4 linked regions of the Schizosaccharomyces pombe genome follow. The protein of the gene in region 1 interacts with the protein of each later gene in a biochemical or structural test. Each region holds a gene or a part of one and is shown in the gene's direction. Other genes may lie near its edges.

What was found.
Region 2: the proteins of hht2 (region 1) and clr4 interact in a test that uses a peptide from one of them, tested with the Schizosaccharomyces pombe proteins (one study listed by BioGRID).
Region 3: the proteins of hht2 (region 1) and chp1 interact in a test that uses a peptide from one of them, tested with the Schizosaccharomyces pombe proteins (3 studies listed by BioGRID, with this or other methods).
Region 4: the proteins of hht2 (region 1) and chp2 interact in a test that uses a peptide from one of them, tested with the Schizosaccharomyces pombe proteins (2 studies listed by BioGRID).

What each region holds. Positions count from the first base shown.
Region 1 is NC_003423.3:1,363,258-1,366,357, forward strand, and holds hht2 (histone H3 h3.2), read left to right. Parts: upstream 1-1,861; 5' UTR 1,862-1,900; coding exon 1,901-2,311; 3' UTR 2,312-2,561; downstream 2,562-3,100. Other genes in the region: hhf2 (histone H4 h4.2), read right to left, coding at 1,255-1,566; protein Sfi1, read right to left, coding at 2,959-3,100. UniProt on the Schizosaccharomyces pombe protein: Core component of nucleosome. Nucleosomes wrap and compact DNA into chromatin, limiting DNA accessibility to the cellular machineries which require DNA as a template.
Region 2 is NC_003423.3:453,441-459,913, reverse strand, and holds clr4 (histone lysine H3-K9 methyltransferase (Suv39) Clr4), read left to right. Parts: upstream 1-1,503; 5' UTR 1,504-1,866; coding exon 1,867-3,339; 3' UTR 3,340-3,601; coding exon of another isoform or gene 3,602-4,912; 3' UTR 4,913-4,969; coding exon of another isoform or gene 4,970-5,246; 3' UTR 5,247-5,316; coding exon of another isoform or gene 5,317-5,684; 3' UTR 5,685-5,918; downstream 5,919-6,473. Other genes in the region: pleckstrin homology domain protein Meu6, read right to left, coding at 3,602-4,912, 4,970-5,246, 5,317-5,684. UniProt on the Schizosaccharomyces pombe protein: Histone methyltransferase which contributes to the establishment of heterochromatin by specifically methylating histone H3 to form H3K9me. Part of the Clr4 methyltransferase complex (ClrC).
Region 3 is NC_003424.3:2,210,265-2,216,078, reverse strand, and holds chp1 (heterochromatin (HP1) family chromodomain protein Chp1), read left to right. Parts: upstream 1-1,733; 5' UTR 1,734-2,219; coding exon 2,220-5,102; 3' UTR 5,103-5,269; downstream 5,270-5,814. Other genes in the region: Rab11 family GTPase Ypt3, read right to left, coding at 1-264; aim18 (chalcone related protein), read left to right, coding at 5,404-5,814. UniProt on the Schizosaccharomyces pombe protein: Component of the kinetochore which plays a role in stabilizing microtubules and so allowing accurate chromosome segregation. Has a role in the RNA interference (RNAi) pathway which is important for heterochromatin formation and accurate chromosome segregation.
Region 4 is NC_003423.3:4,348,270-4,351,794, forward strand, and holds chp2 (heterochromatin (HP1) family chromodomain protein Chp2), read left to right. Parts: upstream 1-1,725; coding exon 1,726-2,289; exon of another isoform or gene 2,290-2,326; coding exon 2,327-2,905; 3' UTR 2,906-2,975; downstream 2,976-3,525. Other genes in the region: ER membrane O-mannosyltransferase Ogm4, read left to right, coding at 1-719. UniProt on the Schizosaccharomyces pombe protein: Component of the kinetochore which plays a role in stabilizing microtubules and so allowing accurate chromosome segregation.

The sequences.
Region 1 (3,100 bases):
TTGAAGACAAAATCAAGTGAAAGAGCAAGTATTAAAAAAGGGTAAATAAAAATAAAAGAAAGAAAAGTTATTTTAATTTAAAAACTAACGAACAAAAACCTTTTAAGTAAATAAGAAAAGTATAATTCAGTAGTGTAAAAATCTAATAAACACTGTTTCAATGTACTAATAATCTGTGTATATACTTTCTATTTCATATTATTAATATCATAGAGCAAAAATGGTGGCATTTTTATTGAAAATCGCTGCATATGTTCCTGTTGTTCATCGCTTTTATTAATCACGTATGTTAACAGACTGAACGGAAAAGAGCAGAAGCTTGTTTAATTTGATTTGAACTTCCGCAATTGCATAATTGCCACATTTCTCTATCTGACATTGCTCTCTTTATTATTATTTGATTGTTTCATTTGCTTGGCTATGGAAGTTCATAAATTAGTAGGAGGACGTGGGCTATTTCGAGATGAAAGCGAAATTTCACTCTTTACGCTTCTCAATTCCGACAGAGTGATAAAACGGTTTGCCAAATGCCCGTCTATCGCTATTGGCGACAGTGTACCAAAGACATCCAGTTTTGCTTCACCTACCGATACACTAAGATACTCAGCTGAAAAATTTGCTTCGAGAATCCGCTTTTCCTTAAAATACAGTCACATCGTTTATCAAAAATTATAGCCACAATACGTGAGTAATAAATTCACGCACAGATGAGTTTCCCTGTTGGGAAAAGAAGACAGCTTGCTTTCAGTACATTTACCTTACAATCAGCTTGTAGAGTTCTCTTTGTATAATATAAATAGATGGGTTCGTGCCCAATTTTTTCTCAAATTGAAGCCTACAATATATTAGCATAGTTATGATATGACTCCAACCTTCCAAACATACATTAATGAAACGTGATAACTACAGGCTAAATTTGTGTGTTTTCTTGTCCTCCCCCCCATAAATGTTAGATAAAAACAATTTATTTATTTATTTCTAAAAACAGAGCTTACTCCCAGAGTAAGTCAGACACAAGGTTGGGTAAAAATTTCTCAGACGTGCAATCCATAATGAAAGAAAAACAAATCCCTTCAATAAAATTGCATTTCTTCAAGGAAAACCAACCATTTTCGTGCAAATAAATATTCATTGAATGGATATTAAAAGAGAAATGAGTAAAGATAAAAAGAGAAACAACTATTAATATGCAAAGTAGGAAAAAAAGAAAAAGAAAATACAATTCACTTCAATATCGAAAAGTGTGCAACCAGTTTAACCACCGAAACCATAAATGGTACGGCCTTGACGCTTCAAAGAGTAGACAACGTCCAAGGAAGTGACAGTCTTACGCTTGGCGTGTTCAGTGTAGGTAACTGCATCACGGATAACGTTTTCCAAGAAAAGCTTGAGAACGGCACGAGTCTCTTCGTAAACCAAAGCAGAAATACGCTTAACACCGCCACGACGAGCAAGACGACGAATGGCAGGCTTAGTAATACCTTGAATGTTATCACGAAGGATCTTACGATGGCGCTTAGCACCACCCTTTCCCAATCCTTTACCACCTTTTCCACGACCAGACATCTTATATGAGTAATGGGATTCCTGTAAGTTCAAACAAACTGACTACCAATTGATCAATTTACAATATCAAAAACTAATTTTCAAGCGCAAACACTGAAATTCCTATGATTTGAATTTCAATGGCTTCTCGTACTAGTCGTAGTAGTTACTGTGTAAGTGCTGTAGTTAGGCGTCCATCTCCATATATATATACATTTTTTCAGGTAGCGGGGAAGCCGAAATCGCAATCTTAAATCAGGGTTAGGGTTGTGATTGACTGAGGTATATATAGCAGGAAGTGTCCACACCCGACGTGGAAAGAACCTTTTTGTAAGTTTATTTACCGAATTACGTTATGGCTCGTACCAAGCAAACTGCTCGTAAATCTACCGGTGGTAAGGCACCCCGTAAGCAATTGGCCTCTAAGGCTGCCCGTAAGGCCGCTCCCGCTACTGGCGGTGTCAAGAAGCCTCATCGTTATCGTCCTGGTACTGTCGCTCTTCGTGAAATCCGTCGTTACCAAAAGTCTACTGAATTGTTGATTCGCAAACTTCCCTTCCAACGTTTGGTCCGTGAAATTGCCCAAGATTTTAAGACTGACTTGCGTTTCCAATCCTCCGCAATTGGTGCTCTTCAAGAAGCTGTCGAGGCTTATCTTGTCTCTCTCTTCGAAGATACCAATCTTTGCGCTATCCATGGCAAGCGTGTTACCATTCAACCCAAGGATATGCAATTGGCCCGTCGTCTTCGTGGCGAACGCTCTTAAATGCATTGATTGCCTAATATTTTATTTGGTATATTGTGTTTATTGGGTTTAAGTTTTGCATTTCCTAATTTTTTCAATCATTGTCATGTATATTTCCTTGGTTTAATGTCGGGTTTAGCATATTAATTTTTATGTTTTTGCTTTCTCACTTGACTTATTCTGAAACACTGTTTTAAAGCTTTGTAGTTTTTAATTTTTTTTCCTTTGTTAATCTGTTTTTATTAATTTAAATAGTTTTTTTTTTATTATACGTATTTCATTTTTGTAAATTTTTCATTGTAAGAAAAAAATTTTTTTTTTAAATTTGTTTGACCGCCTGCTACTGTAAGTCGTAGTACTTGCTTTGAACATCTTATGGAGCATTACTCTCCTAACGATTTGGTAAAGTCCTTTTAAAATTATCAAGTGAAGCGTTCACTTCCTGCTTAAAGTTTTTTTTTTTTTTTTTTAAGTATTCCACACGTACTTGTAATGTGTTGCAGGATTATTGATGCTACTGTTACACGAATTTTCGACTATGTATTAAACTTTTCAAAGCAATGACTATTATATTATACATATCTAAAGGTTTATCAATATACTCTCAACTCATTTCAAATGGTTAGATAAAAAAAAAGAGAACTAACTCTCTCCGTCAATCGTAAATGTCAACGGGTATTAGGAGGTATAGGCCGCAGAAACTTGGAAAATCGAGATATGGGAGTCTTTAGTTCCTGCTTCCAGCGATTTTCAAAATTTACAGACTCATCAGTGAATTCATCATTTTGCATTGGCAAAGTGGTATCAAAT
Region 2 (6,473 bases), 910 kb from region 1:
AATAAAGCAAGATTAAAAGCAAGAAATACAATTGAAAAATCGTAAATATATACAGAGATTTTGTCTTCGGTATGGCCTATTCCACATTGAAAATTTCGCAACCCGGTATGGTGGCTACAATATTAGTTACATTCAAAGTGTATTTGTTGAATCTTTTGTGCACAGTATATGGATCTGAAATTTCATTCTCATTCACTAGAGGCATCATTGGTAATATTGAATCCCTGGCATGTTATATTGGGCTTTGTTTTTTTGTTTATGGTATGAAGGGATAGGATTAAAGGCTTCGTTCAAAAAATATATCTAATGTACAGTAGGTATTCTGCAATCAAATTTTGAGTTTGTAGTCTGGTGAATTTATCGCACCATCTAATTGAGATCGACAATTATCAAGGGAGCTTTCACATAGAGTATTAAGAAGCACTAGAGATATGGGTCAAAGCATGTATGGTTTTTTGTTTTCTTTATTCATTTTTTCAAAGTTTAAATTTAAATGGAACTTTTTAAGGCATGTTGGCACCACCGATTTGCAATTCAAAATTGAACCAAATTAGCAACATTTTGGATTGGCTACTGTTAATCAACCTTTAGAGCCTGCAGAAAATTTATCCAGAAATGGAGTACATGACTTCTCCATTGTCATTCAAAATTAACAAGCGAAAAAACCAAATACCAACATGTGCTTCTAGAATGGGTTATGGGTTATCGCGTTCTGAAAGTTGGCTGGAGACTCAATCTTTTTTAATTGACCTTGTTTATCTAATGAGCTCAAGTTTAACCATTATTAAAAAATGAATGCTCGAATGCAAAGGTATTTGGTTCCTTACTTTATTAATTTTGCGAGAAGCTTGTTTATAGGCATTCTTTGTACCGAAATCAAAACCCGATAGTCAAATATAATAGTTTTTAATCATTATAAAAATGGCGATGCGACTAATTGTGTAAAAAGTTTTTCTATGGACAATCTTACTGTTGTTTCATTTCTTTTATTATTATAGAGCAATTGAACATACTATTGTTTTTTAAAAACGCTCAACTTTCTTATTTAGACACAGATGGGTTAGACTCCGTGCTGCACACTGATACAAAGTCAGCTACGCAGTTTGGTATCTGCTTTAACGATAACATAGAACTGCGGTAATTTTTCCTTGTTAACGTATTACAATACACAGGTATTACAAGTAGCAATTGAGTATAGGTATTAAATTATCTAGATTGCATTGTGACCTATAACTAATATAGCTTATAACTGAAGTTCATTCCTCAGTTCAGTTGCAGCTCAATTTATAATCTTTTTAGTCTTCATTAGCCAGCGTCTATGTAAATATGAAAATGGTTTTGCGCATTTATCAATAAACTGCTCTAAAGTAATATCCTAACATATGACATATAGTGATACGTTACGTGTTCTTCATTAGAGCAGTGTGTTGTTAACACCGTATTTCCTTTACGGGGCGATTCTCCGTTTCTTTAAATTTTGACTTCTGTAAAGGAGTGCGATTCAACAACCTGGTCGAAATACAAACTGTTATAACATGAATTGGCATTGCTAGTTTGGATTGTTGTTTGAAAGTTGATTTGTATATTATAACTTTAAAATTACTTTGTACTTGATACCTTTTTCAAATTTCAGAGCTTCAATTTTGCTCTGAAATTGAACACATCGACTTTATATATTTATTGCTCATTACTAAAAAACATTCAGTTTTATATTCTGAGTTCGCGGTCGTCTATTATTTTAGTCCTTTAGCAATTGTCATATTAACATAAACCCTCTCCTTATTTTATTTTTTAAATTCGTTCAGGCATCATTTGGAGGGTTTGCTAAAAATCATCTCACCAAACAAGAGGTTATTAGTTTTGCGAATGTCGCCTAAACAAGAGGAGTATGAAGTTGAAAGGATTGTGGACGAAAAATTGGATCGTAATGGAGCTGTCAAACTATATCGCATTCGATGGTTGAACTATTCATCTAGAAGTGATACTTGGGAGCCCCCTGAGAACCTTTCTGGATGTTCTGCCGTTTTAGCAGAATGGAAAAGGCGGAAGAGGAGACTAAAGGGAAGTAACTCCGACTCGGATTCACCGCACCATGCGAGCAATCCACATCCAAACAGTAGACAAAAGCACCAACATCAAACTTCAAAGTCAGTGCCTCGTTCTCAAAGATTTTCGCGGGAATTGAATGTAAAAAAGGAAAATAAAAAGGTTTTTTCTTCTCAAACTACCAAGAGACAATCTCGAAAACAATCCACCGCTCTGACGACGAATGATACTAGTATCATTTTAGACGATAGTCTTCATACAAATTCAAAGAAGCTGGGGAAGACGAGAAATGAAGTGAAGGAGGAATCTCAAAAAAGAGAACTAGTTTCCAATTCTATTAAAGAAGCTACATCCCCCAAAACATCTTCAATTCTCACAAAACCGCGAAACCCTTCCAAACTTGACTCTTATACCCATCTAAGTTTTTACGAAAAGAGAGAGCTATTTCGTAAGAAACTGCGGGAAATTGAAGGACCCGAAGTAACGCTTGTCAATGAAGTTGACGATGAACCCTGTCCATCTTTAGATTTTCAATTCATTAGCCAGTACCGCTTAACACAAGGTGTTATCCCGCCTGATCCAAATTTTCAATCTGGATGCAATTGCTCGTCCCTTGGCGGTTGTGACCTTAACAATCCTTCTCGTTGTGAGTGTTTAGATGATTTGGATGAGCCAACTCATTTTGCCTATGATGCACAGGGGCGGGTCCGTGCAGATACGGGTGCCGTTATATATGAATGCAACTCTTTTTGTTCTTGTTCAATGGAGTGTCCTAATCGCGTTGTTCAACGTGGTAGAACTCTTCCGCTTGAAATATTTAAAACAAAAGAAAAAGGATGGGGTGTACGTTCGCTTCGATTTGCCCCTGCTGGCACGTTTATCACTTGCTATTTAGGAGAAGTCATAACTTCAGCAGAGGCCGCCAAGCGTGACAAAAATTATGACGACGACGGTATTACCTATTTATTTGATTTAGACATGTTTGATGATGCTAGCGAGTATACAGTGGATGCTCAGAACTATGGAGATGTCTCTCGTTTTTTTAACCACTCCTGTTCACCTAATATAGCTATTTATTCTGCTGTTCGGAACCATGGATTTCGAACCATTTATGATCTCGCTTTTTTTGCCATCAAAGACATTCAGCCTCTAGAGGAGCTTACATTTGATTACGCTGGTGCAAAAGATTTCTCACCTGTTCAATCTCAAAAATCTCAGCAAAATAGAATTTCAAAACTTCGCCGGCAGTGCAAATGTGGTTCCGCTAATTGTCGTGGCTGGCTTTTCGGTTAAGCTAATTTATTACTGGTTGACTCCAATAATTACAATTTGTTTTTCTCCATTACTGTTAAACTGAAAAAGGTCATTCATTTTCTAAGCAACGAGATTATGTATATTATCTGACCTGTGGGATTTGCCGAACAATTATCGGTAAAACATATCGGTGCTTATATTTTTTACACTTGTTGAAAGCATTATAGTAATTGTTGTAAAGCCTAGCGTTAATGGAAAAACTCTTTTCATCTGCTGCGCACATGTGAAGTAAAAAGGGCGTTTAAGCGTTAACGGTAATGGACCGTCCTTCAGAAGCTATAGAAGGAGCTGCTTCTGTTTCGAGCACCTGGGGCATCTGATTGTTTTCTCCTTCTGCTGAGGCGAGGGCATCAGTTGTTTCTTCAGCTGGGTCTTCTTGTGCAGCTGTTCGAGGCGTTGGAGTTGTTGTAGGAGTTAAGGGAGTTTCCGGTTTTATTGTGGTTTTTGAGAACTGGGAAATTTCTTTTAGTCTCCCGTCTTTATCAAACTTCTTATGCACTTTTTTTTGCACCAAACCTGAGAGCTTCTTTGAAAGGTTGGAAGGAAATATCTCAAATCCTGCCTTAGCAAATTCAAGGGAAGGATCTGCCTGTAAAGTTTTAACACTTTTGGTAGGTTTAGCATACTTGTGAAGCTTAAAGCCGAATACTCTCTTGTTGCCTCCTTTTTTCTTCTTATGATGCCGATGATGCTTTTTTCCGGCTTTCTTAGACGTTCTATCTTCATTGCTGACAACACTCTCTTCATTAGTAGCTGCAGTGGAAGGGTCTTGATCGTCTGCAGTAGGGGTCGCAACATCGGGAAGTGCTATATCAGGAAGTGCAATATCAGTCTCTTCTATGAAAGCTTGTTCAACTGATTGGGCTGTACCTTTAACATCTTCTTCAATGGCGTCTGCTATTTGACCGATGGGGGTTCCGTTATCATTTTGAGTAGAAGCTTGCTCAACATTTTGAGTTGATGTTGATTCTTCTGCCGGACCTGTGGCTGGTTTTTCTTCTGATGCGGGAGCCACTTCTTCCGTAGTAGCAGGAAAATGTTCTTCAGTGGTGGGAATTTGGTTAGTTTCATTCTCAGGAACTTCGACTGATTGTGCTTCAACAGTAGTATCAACCGGGTCAGCTGACGTTTCATTATCAATGGGACTAGCCGTATCGTTTTGCGGAGTTTTCCCCTTAATCATGTTTTGAAAAAAGTCAAAAAGACCGTCTTTGGCAACAGAATTGTTTTGTTTTCCGCCATGAGATTTACTAGATGACTTTTTCGCGTCCCGTCCGTTAGAAAGCATTGGAAGGAAATAACGAAATGTTTCACTTGCTGAAGGACCTGAACGAGCTGCTAACTTGCCGAGTCTTTTAAGCGTGTCATTGTAAGCACGAAGCTCTTTAATTTTATCTTTGGTTTCCTTTTTCTTAGCAATGGCATTTTTGAGATCAGTAATCCATGTATTTTTACTTTCTGGGTCTAGGGCTTCAAGTGTTTCTGATTTACCATTGTTAAAATTGATGGTGAATTTGTTTCCAGTACCGGGTTCTATGGATACTGCATCAGTCTGAAAATACAGTTAGCACGGTTAAAACTAAAAATCAGGGGAATTAGGAATTCTTACCAAATTAATGATTCCGCTTGGGACACTAGTTGATTGAGATTTGGAGTAAAAGAGTAAACCACGGCAGTCTTGAGTAGCTTTAGCGATACGGTTAAGGTGATCATTAGCAGACTGGAAGAGGGAATCAGCATCAGAGTCGTGCATTTGCTCAGAAGCTAAGGAAGGTTCCGTTGGGTTACCTTGCAAAGTACCATGGAAGTGTTTTTTATAATAATGGTCTAATAAATCCATAGACATAGGGCCTTCTAGCATATAAAAATACCTTTTCATGACATGACTACATGTGGTTAGTAAGATTACTCAATCGATTGTTTGATTTTTAATAAATGGATGCTGTTTTGACTTACGGAATAAGTCCGTTGGATCGACAGTATAAATACCCACCAGTGGTGTAGGTCAATGGTTTTTCATCCTTGGCTTTCTTCTTGGATTTTTTTTCTTCAACCTTGGGAGCTGCCACGCTGTTTGGATCATCATCTGCAGGATCGATATTGTCGACTGTTTCAGGCTCCTTGGGTTCCTCAGGTGCTTGTACTTCTGCAGGAACAGCGTTTTCAGTGGCATCATCATTGTCGGTTTCGTTGCTCAATGGCACCTCCAGTGTCTCCACCTGGGCCTCAGCAGATCCCGAATCATGTTCATTGTGTTCCGACACATTTTCGAAAGTAGGTTCAGCAATCTGCTCAGGTCGTTCTTCACGGCCCTCATAAGACATGATAAGAAGTCGAAAACAACAGTTAGGCTCTCAATTTTGGATTTTTTTTATGCTGTAAATATTTGTGGTAGAGGAAAAGTCTGCGCCAAGCTGGTTATTTGAATACCAATTGTTGGCGAGAATGTAAACAAACAAATCGACTACCTAATATACAAACAAACGATGGACATCAATAGAAAAGGGAAAATACATAGAATTTACTTTTTAAATGTTAAAAAATTTCTACTAATTCATTCTTATTAATAAAATCTTCAACGGCCATTAAATCTTGTATTCGCTCATTCGTATCAAAACATATACATTCTTCTGGAATCGAGCTGTCTGCGATTGAATGAACTATATAGTATTGAGAGATTTTACAATTAAGTGTTTGTCTTTAATTTCTAATTGCGACTACCATCCTAAAATTTTCATTTGAGTTGAAATCTGTTTAACAACAACAGATGAGCCATATTTTTCATTGACTTTATACATGATTGTCACCATTAGTTCCTTTTTTTATAAAAATTAAATGTTGTTTAACTATTCTGCTCATTTGTTTTGCTTAAAAACTAAGTAGGTTTTAATTGGTAAGAATTTTACGAGATTTTAAATTTTTATTTATTTACTTATTATTTTTGACGAACGCTAGTTTCAAAAAAGCAAATCCAAACTCGAGGTATTTTCAAATTGTTTAAAATTTTCAATAGAATGGAAGGATGTTTTTTAATGCTTTCCACATCTTTGAATTGGAAATTTCCTTTTAATATTTACACTTCTTCCAAGAAAACTATAGCAATTTGTTTCATT
Region 3 (5,814 bases), on another chromosome or scaffold:
AATCAGAGCACCAACAGCACCACGGTAATAAGCTGAGGTAATGGCCCGATAACGTTCCTGACCGGCAGTATCCCAGATCTGTGCTTTAATTTTTTTGTTGTCAAGAACAATATTTCTAGTAGCAAATTCAACACCAATAGTACTCTTGCTTTCGATATTAAATTCATTCCTAGTGAAACGCATAAGTAGGTTTGACTTTCCAACACCACTATCCCCAATCAGCACAGTCTTGAACAAATAATCGTATTCGTCCTCTTGACACATGGCTAAGTTCTCTATCGGTAAATCTACGAACAATTTTTGTTAACAAATATTTAAGGTCAAATAATATCAAGGTATATACCTGTAAATTACAATGAACCCTGCTTTCGATAGTCGAAGAATTTACTTAGTCGTAGTTTGTTGTAGGTAAGTTGCAGAGGGATATCAGAAAACCTAAGGAAGTAATAATCCTTTATCATGGTAACAAAAAAAAGTCCACTAGTGCCACTGGCCGTTAAAATGCATATAACGCATTCCAATGATTCATTAAATAATTATACTGCGTTACAAAGAATGTCGTAATCATGAGAAGGCTGGTGTCGTTTAGTGATTGCTATCATCAAAATCATTATGCTGTTGTTCACTATAAAGCGCTATTTTGTAAACATTTTAAAATGCCTTTGATATAAAGAAGCGCAAGTACTCAATTGAATGCAAGTACTATCAATTATATGAATGACCGATTGAACCCAATCGCAAAACTGGATATGGACGGGTTGGTATGGGTTTTTACAGTGCGATTAGTCAGTACTATACCCATTTTAGTCCTGCATCAAACAATGATGTAGAAATTCTTTGAAAGCAATGTTTTGATTTCCAAGTTACAAAGTTATCTAGCCAAAGAAAGAATATTTTAAGTTCCGGTTTTTTCAGCAGCTTTTTCTCACTTTTATAATGGTCACAATGATCGAAATTAAAAATTTGAAAGAATAAAATTGGCGGCTCAATTGAAATCTTTTTCTTTATGCAAAAGTTATACAATGTTGGATGCTGCTCATGGCATGCAGGCATCCTTCATGCAGAAAGTTACTTGAGTAATCCATCGAATAATTATCGTTGGCAAATCTTGGGTTAACAAGAAACAAAAAAATCCTGCACATAAACAGTTTTTCTTATTAAGTTCATTTCATGGAAAACGAATAACATAGTTCCGTAATAATATAAGTAAATGGATCCCTTGGTTAACCTCTATATAAAATTAATGCAAGCAATTATCAAAAGAGGTCGTGTGGTTTAGATGGTTATAATTTCTGCTTAACATGCTAGTTCGCAGACGGTCCCAAGTTCGAGTCTTGGCACGATCATTTTTTTCTATCGTAGTAATTATTTACTTTTCTTATTGTACTACCAGTTTTGGAATGATATGTTGTGTTGAATTCGTTTATATAGAGTTAACACATTTAGAGGTATTATGTATAAACGCATCGTTTAATAAATTGCAGCGCTCAAAATCTACTCATTGTAGCTTTTTGAAAACAAAATTCATTATTTGTTTAAAGTTTTTCTAACTTACACAACCACCCAGAAAATAAAATTAGAAGTTCAGGAGGAATGAGAAAATTTTAAACATTTATCAATTTACCAACAAAGTTTTTTGACTACTAGTACCTCATGTATGCAACTAGTAACACTAGTGGTTAGTGAGTATTTTCTCAAAGTACATATGTCTCCATAGGTGTCTTCAAATCTGCAACCTCAACCTCACACACTTGATTAATGCAATAAAACTCCAAACCCAATCGAAAACTTATTTTTTTGTATATTTAACGGTTTGCGTTGGTGACACGACGGTAAAATCACGCGGATTTTGTTTGATTCCAAAATTCGAGTGCATAAGCCATCTTGCTTATTGCAGCGAGACTTCGAAATTCTAACATCTAAAAGCTTCATTACTGGAATTATCTGTTGTTATTCTTGTGTTCCATTGGTAAAAAAATCACAAGCAAAAGGGAAATATTTGAGCCATTTTAGAGGTTATACTCTGCCCTTCATGCAACTATAAAAGTAGTTGAAAGGGAAGAACTTTGGCTAATAGTTTTGTCAAGGAATCTATTCAATCTTGCTTAATTCCGTTTTTTTTTTAAATTCATATCTTTATCCTTTTATATATTTTTTTGTTGTAATACTTCAATCTCTCTTAGCGACACGTAGGTGAGCAAAAAACCCGCTACCTTGAAATGGTATCTGTTAAACCACTTCCTGATATTGACTCGAATGAAGGTGAGACAGACGCGGATGTTTATGAGGTGGAAGATATCCTTGCTGACCGCGTAAATAAAAATGGCATAAACGAATATTATATAAAATGGGCTGGCTATGATTGGTATGATAATACTTGGGAACCTGAACAAAATTTATTCGGTGCGGAAAAAGTGCTTAAAAAATGGAAAAAACGGAAAAAGTTAATTGCTAAAGGCTTGCTTGAACCTTTCGATGCGGAAGATAATGAGGCAAAGAAAATGAAGAGAGAAAAGGAGATATTGAGGCAACAAAGACAAAAGCGCAAATCCGAGCTTACCCAATTATCTCAAAAAGTCAAAGAAAAATTCAAAAAGATGCGTAAGAAGCCTGCCCGAAGGATTGTAACCATCGCAAATGATGAAGAGGAAGAGGACGATCAGACAATGGATGAGGATGCGTTTGAGAGAAAAAGTATGCAAGGGGAATTGAAGGAGAGGAATTTGACCGATAAAACTAGCACGCTATCCACATCGTTTGGTGAAACTAGCCCTGATGTTAATCCTTTCTACTTATCAGAGTGGCCTACAGTTACCGACAGTATTTTATTGTCCAAAAGCCTCTCCAGCGATGCAATACCTTTGAAAAATGGCGAAATTAAAAGCACAATGTTGATGCCCAGTGACTCTGACAACTCAGTTCCCGGAATTCAAAATTCGAACAATCTTGAAAATACTGGCGCTTTTGTTGAAAATGCGAATTCACCACAATCTAACACCCCCTTGTCAACCTTTAGGCATTCAAGCCCTTTAAGTCTGTCGCCAGTAATAACTTCCGATAATGATGTTGCCAATTCATTATTTTTTAGCAATTCGACTCCTCTTCCTTCCTCTTTGAAGATAAAAAAGGAAGCACCGAAATTAGAAACGCATACGATATTAGTTAGTGATAATTCTGGTTCTTTAACGAAGCAAGATATTTTATCGTACTTTGCTTTTATCAAAGGAAATATTGAGGTCTTTTTTCTCAAATCACCAAAGAAAGACAAAGTTTGTAATATGGCCTACATTCAATTCGATTCTATCGAACAAGCCAAACTTGCGTATGATAAAGGGCATCCAAGTTGGCATGTAACTTTAGTAAAAGGGAAGATATCAACTGATATGGAAGAATGTAAAGTCTCAAAGTCTATTTTAAAAACAACCCCTTCAAAGAAAGCAAATGCAAGGTCCGTTTCTTTTACACAAACAACAACAGATACCCTTTCTGAGTCGGAAAAATTTGCTAGCAATGTCGATCTGGACGAAAATTTCGATTTCAACGTAAACGTGACGAATGAAGATGCTAAGCAGCTTAAGAAAAGTGTTATCGGAAGTAGTTGGACTACTGTTAATAACGACTGGAACAGTGTTTCTAAAAGCGATCAAACTTTTGAAAATGATGGAGCTAGCAAAGTAGTTCCGGCTGGTAATATTACTTTAAATTCGGATAACTCTCTTCACCATTCGATAAGCGAATCCGAAGATCTTTCTTCAGCAAGCACATTGTCTGATTATTTTAGATTCGTTTTGCGAGTCGGAAAATCTCTCTACTATGCTGGAGAATTGTCATTTGATATATCCAAGCTTAAGGCGGAAACTGAACATCAACAGTTGTTACGAAGTTTAGTCAGTTGCAAGCAAGTAGATGTTTTACGTTTTGTTACTTCACAATATCTCGAGGTATTTGGTACTTGCTTGACTAAAGTTCTTTCCGGAAGTCTTTGTATTCGAAGCGATGTTGATATGACTCACTTTAAAAATATACTAAACCGCGGCAACGGTGCTGGCATCGTTCTGGGTAGTAACTATACATTATTATTATTTACAGAGGATAATAATGCTTTAATGAATTTATACGATTGTCAAGGCCAAAGCAATAGCCCTTTTTGGATGGTGATTTTTGAACCTTTAGAATCAATCCTAGTCGAATGGTCGGCAAAAAATCTAAGGCCTAAAAAGCCATATCATAAATCCCAATCTTACTTGTCTTATTTACTACAATTAGGCCACATCGATTTACATAAAATAGGCGCTTTTCAAGCTACACAAATTTTAATTGTCTCTAAACAGCCTTCTCCGGAGGCAGAAGAATTGGAGGATACTTTTAGAGAAGCTGCTATTCCGACATTTCGAGGACTCGAGATTCCGGAATCTTTGTTTTTATCACAGAATGTTTTTGTTTTCCTGAATGTCTCACTAGAGGATGATTTTGATCAACTGCAATTTTTAACACTGGCGAAAAGGAAAAGTTGTAAATTTTTCTTATTTGGTTTGTCACTCCCTCTCAAAAGTCCTAATGATTCACACGTGGGTACGGACTTTAAGAAAAACAATGAACCCCTTGATAAGTTGACATATTCACAGTACTTAAGACCGATGTTTCCTAAGGGTGGGGTGGTATCTGTTACACTCTCAGCACTTATAAAAACACCACGGCTTTTGGAACTCATTAGTCCATTTCTTGAGATTAAAAAAGATTCATGGATTTTAATTCTACCCCCATCAATTGTGGATATGGTCAAGAGCTATTTTGTAACAAACAATCCAGACAAAAGTCTCTTGGAAATTCAAAACTTATTGAATACACTCCAGCGCTACCTGACCAACCCAGCGCTGAAGAACGTGACTTTGTATCAGGATTGGGATATTGTGATCGATGATAGCGCTGATGTATCTTTAGCCAGCACTCTACAATTGTACCAGAAAAAAAATTATGATAAATATAGAAGGTTCGTATTGATTCACGAGCTTAAAAATGAATTGACGCCAGTTAATGGCCTTGACATTGTTGACTATGATGAGTTCAAAGAGACTTTTATGAGAGCTATTGGTTTAAAATAGTCGTTTTATTTATTTTGGGATACGGCGGACAATGGGATATATAGACTGACATTTTTTCTTATTACGAATGGATAGGAATACTTAAAATTAAACTCAAAGACTTATACTAGAAAATAACAGTCTACTCTTTAGAAATTAGACGATTAATTAATTAATTAATTTTTTCACTATATAATAACCGTATGTTTCAACATTGTTAGTTGTTTTTGCGCACCTCCTTAAAATCTAGGATCTCTTGGAAAAACATGTGATCCAATACCAACCGGCTAATATCTGTGTGTGTGTATTTAAACTAAACAACATGTTTGGTACTCGTTTTTTTGCTTATCAATTTTGCAAGAATTGGTTATCGAAACGACCAGGATTGGTCTTTTGGAGCTCAGTAGCAACAATAAATGCCATGTATCAAACTCGCCCTCTATACTGTGAGAGTGTCACCAAGACAATTCAACAAACATACGAAGGATTAGTTCAAAAAAGAATTAATAATGAGGATGAACTATTTTTGTTAGGTTCAGGACCGCGATATGTTTCTTTTCTAAGTATTCATGTGTATGATATCGAATTGTATATTCAGAAGAAAGATGTTCAAACCGTTCACACTATATTGCAAAAGGAGGTAGATCCGAAATTAGGGCTAGAAATGAGTATGAAAGACGAAGAAATTGGAAGTCGGATCGTGGCAGCGCTATTGAAAAACGAAATGAAGTAT
Region 4 (3,525 bases), 3.0 Mb from region 1:
AAAAAAAAATTCCTAAAAAACTACCATTTTGGAAAAAATATTTGGAGCTACAACTCACAATGTTTAGACAAAATAATATGTTAACCGAGTTTCATCCATACAGTTCTAATCCTTCTGATTGGTTTACTTTGCACCACGGTATTGCGTTTTGGGCTAAAAGTGAGGAAAACAAGCAAATATATTTATTGGGAAATCCTATCGGTTGGTGGATCATTGCCGGTACTGTTTTGAGTACGACGGTGGTCGCTGCAGCTGAAATTTTGCTTCGCCAAAGAGGTATTCGTACTTTACCTGAAACTGTCCGTAACCACTTTTACCGTTCCACTATGTTTTTCTACATGACTTATGTCTTTCATTATCTTCCATTCTTTATCATGGGTCGTCAATTGTTTTTACACCATTATCTTCCTGCTCATTTGGCAGGTTCCTTGCTTGTAGGCGCATTTATACAGTTAGCCTGTCGCAAATCCTTCCGATCACCCGTGTCCGCAGGAGTTCCGATTCCTAAAGATGTCGATGAAAAAGGACATTCCAAATGTCATAGAAAATACGGTCATGTAATAGAGCTCATCTGTACATTACTACTCATTTTTGTCGTTATTTATTGTTTCACCTTTTTCGCTCCAATGACATACGGAGATAAAAGCCTTAGCGTTGATGAATGGACGAGACGTAAATGGCTTGATTCATGGGTGTTTCAATACCAAAAACAAAATTAGCCACTTTCATAATGATTCTTTTGAGCTCGAATTTTTTTAACAAAGCTGCAAAGCTGCTTTTGGTCTGCTAATATTTAATAAAAAAACAGTTATCGCTGGCTTGGACATTTGATCCAGCTCTAAATTGATTATACCCTATAATTTCAATATTCGTGGATCGGCAACCTATTCCGTTTAGCTTTTATATCTACTTATAAATTAAGCGATTATTAGATCGATAACTCTACGGAAGTCAGATCGTTATACACTTTACGTATCTAGGAAATTCATAGAATATCAAAAAAAAGTACTTGGTAGTAATTGGTTTTCACAATATTTGCTATTGCATGAAGCTTGATATCTATATTTTCTGTTGATTAACCAAGCATAGTAGATAGATCTTTAATTACAAGTTTTAAAGAAATGAAATAATACTTTCTTTTAAATATTGCTTACAAAAAAGATTTATAATATATTTACAATTTTTTAGTTTTCCAGAAAAACTATGAACACTTTTAATACATCCCTTACTTGCCTTAACAATAGGTAGATTTGTTTAAGACAAGCGTATTATGGGACCTTGAGCATCCTAACCCTTTACATGTATGTTATTTTTATGCACAGCACTTTATCTTCAAATTTTTTTGAACTTCGATTCTAAATTGGTTATTATTTTAATACTGTATTCATATTTAGTTGAACCAATACATTGCAGGACTTGCACTTAATACTACTTCTGGATTGTAAATCGCTTTGTGATAAACCTTACCTAAAATTTCCGTTGTCCTTTCACAATATATAAAAACTGTCAATTATATTCAAAATACTTTTTCTTGGCGGATCTTTTAAAACTGTATTTATAAAGGGAGGAGAAAATATCAATGAATCCGTCGAAATAAACATATAAGCAGCAATATTATTGCATAACCAGCATCAAATTAATTAGAGCAGAATATTTTTTATTAAATTTTTAATTGATATATGAAGGGTTAATAATTTATGTTGGTATATCTGGAAAGTCTTAATAATGGTCAAAAGTGCCGACCTTGACCTAATGAATAGTATAATCAGTGAAAGTGATGAAAATTTTAGTCCTCCACCATTCACTGTTGAAGAAGCCGAAAATTCAATTAACAATAAGTCTTCGACAGCGAGTTTGGAAAGTCCTCAAAATGGTTCATGGCATCCTTCGCTTTACGGTCTTAGTGTTCCCGAAAAAACCCATATTCAAAATTCTTTAGACTTATACAGTCATGGAAATTCAGGGTCTCAGAAGACTCACAATGTGTCGTTCAGTTGTGAAATAAGAAAAGTCAAAAGTTCCAAATTGTCTCCAATCTCTAACATGGAAGACTCTGAAGATAAAAAAGAAGAGGATGAATCTTCTAGTTACAAAAACGAATTTAAAAGTTCATCTTCTGCTTCTGTTTCTTCAAATTTCGAAAAGACTAGTGGTTCTGATGATCATAACTCTCAATCACCCGTTCCTCTGAATGAAGGGTTTGAGTATATTGCTAGTTCTGGTAGTGAAGATAAAAATTCAGATGAAGAATTCGCCGTGGAAATGATTCTAGATAGTAGGATGAAAAAGGTGCGCAACATTAATACTTGTCTTGCTAACCATGTAGGATGGATCAGGCTTCCAATATTATTTGAAATGGGAAGGGTACGATGACCCTTCCGATAATACATGGAATGATGAAGAAGATTGTGCGGGCTGTCTGGAATTAATAGACGCATACTGGGAATCTAGAGGAGGTAAACCAGATCTTTCGTCTTTAATACGATTGACGCGAAGCCGCGCACGATCTTCGAATGAAGCTTCCTATGTTGAGAAAGATGAGAGTTCAAACTCTGATGACTCTATATCTTATAAAAGAAGGAGAAGCAGGAATGCAGCAAATCGTATTACGGATTATGTCGACTCGGATTTATCTGAATCTTCTATGAAAGAAAAGCAAAGCAAAATTGAGAAATATATGAAATCTGATAAATCTTCAAAAAATTTTAAACCTCCTTTTCAGAAGAAAAGCTGGGAAGATTTGGTTGATTGTGTTAAAACGGTTCAACAACTTGATAATGGTAAACTAATTGCAAAAATAAAGTGGAAAAATGGTTACGTCTCAACTCACGATAACATAATAATTCACCAAAAATGTCCTCTTAAAATTATTGAATATTACGAGGCTCATATTAAATTTACATAATGTTGATCTTTGGACTTAATAATTAGAATTACGAGTGGGTTACTAAGATAGAACTATAAGATTCAGCTAAAATTTTTACAGTTTTTTTGTAAGCTTTTCTTAGAAATGTTGCACCCGATGCACATATTCCTCACAAAAAATGCAGAATGTAGACTGTGTTGTAAAACTCAAAAAATTGCAGTATTTTATTCTATTCAAGGTCAGCTATAAAGTTGCATAAAGTGCTGTATTGGTTTCATATTTTAATAAAGCATTAAAACCAAGGTCAAGATACCAGGTAAAAGATTTTGGTAGCTAAACAAAATATTCTTTGAAAGGAAAATTTGAGTTTGCGCCACTGCCATGCTTTTTGTTTATGTATAGCACATCAAATTCAGCTTGAAACTGTCAAATATCAACTCGTTCAACGCTTTTACAGTGCCTACAATCTCTAAAAAATTGTACATTTCTGAAACTCAAATTGTATAAATCAAAACTATGATTGCATTCAGATTCGTTTTTCACAAACCAAAGCAGAAGGTAATGCTGAAATACCAATATCAAATTAGCGTTTCCTAAGGAGATTTACAGCCAAAAGCCTTTTCCGAATACAATCGCAATATCTTTCTACTCGCTAAATT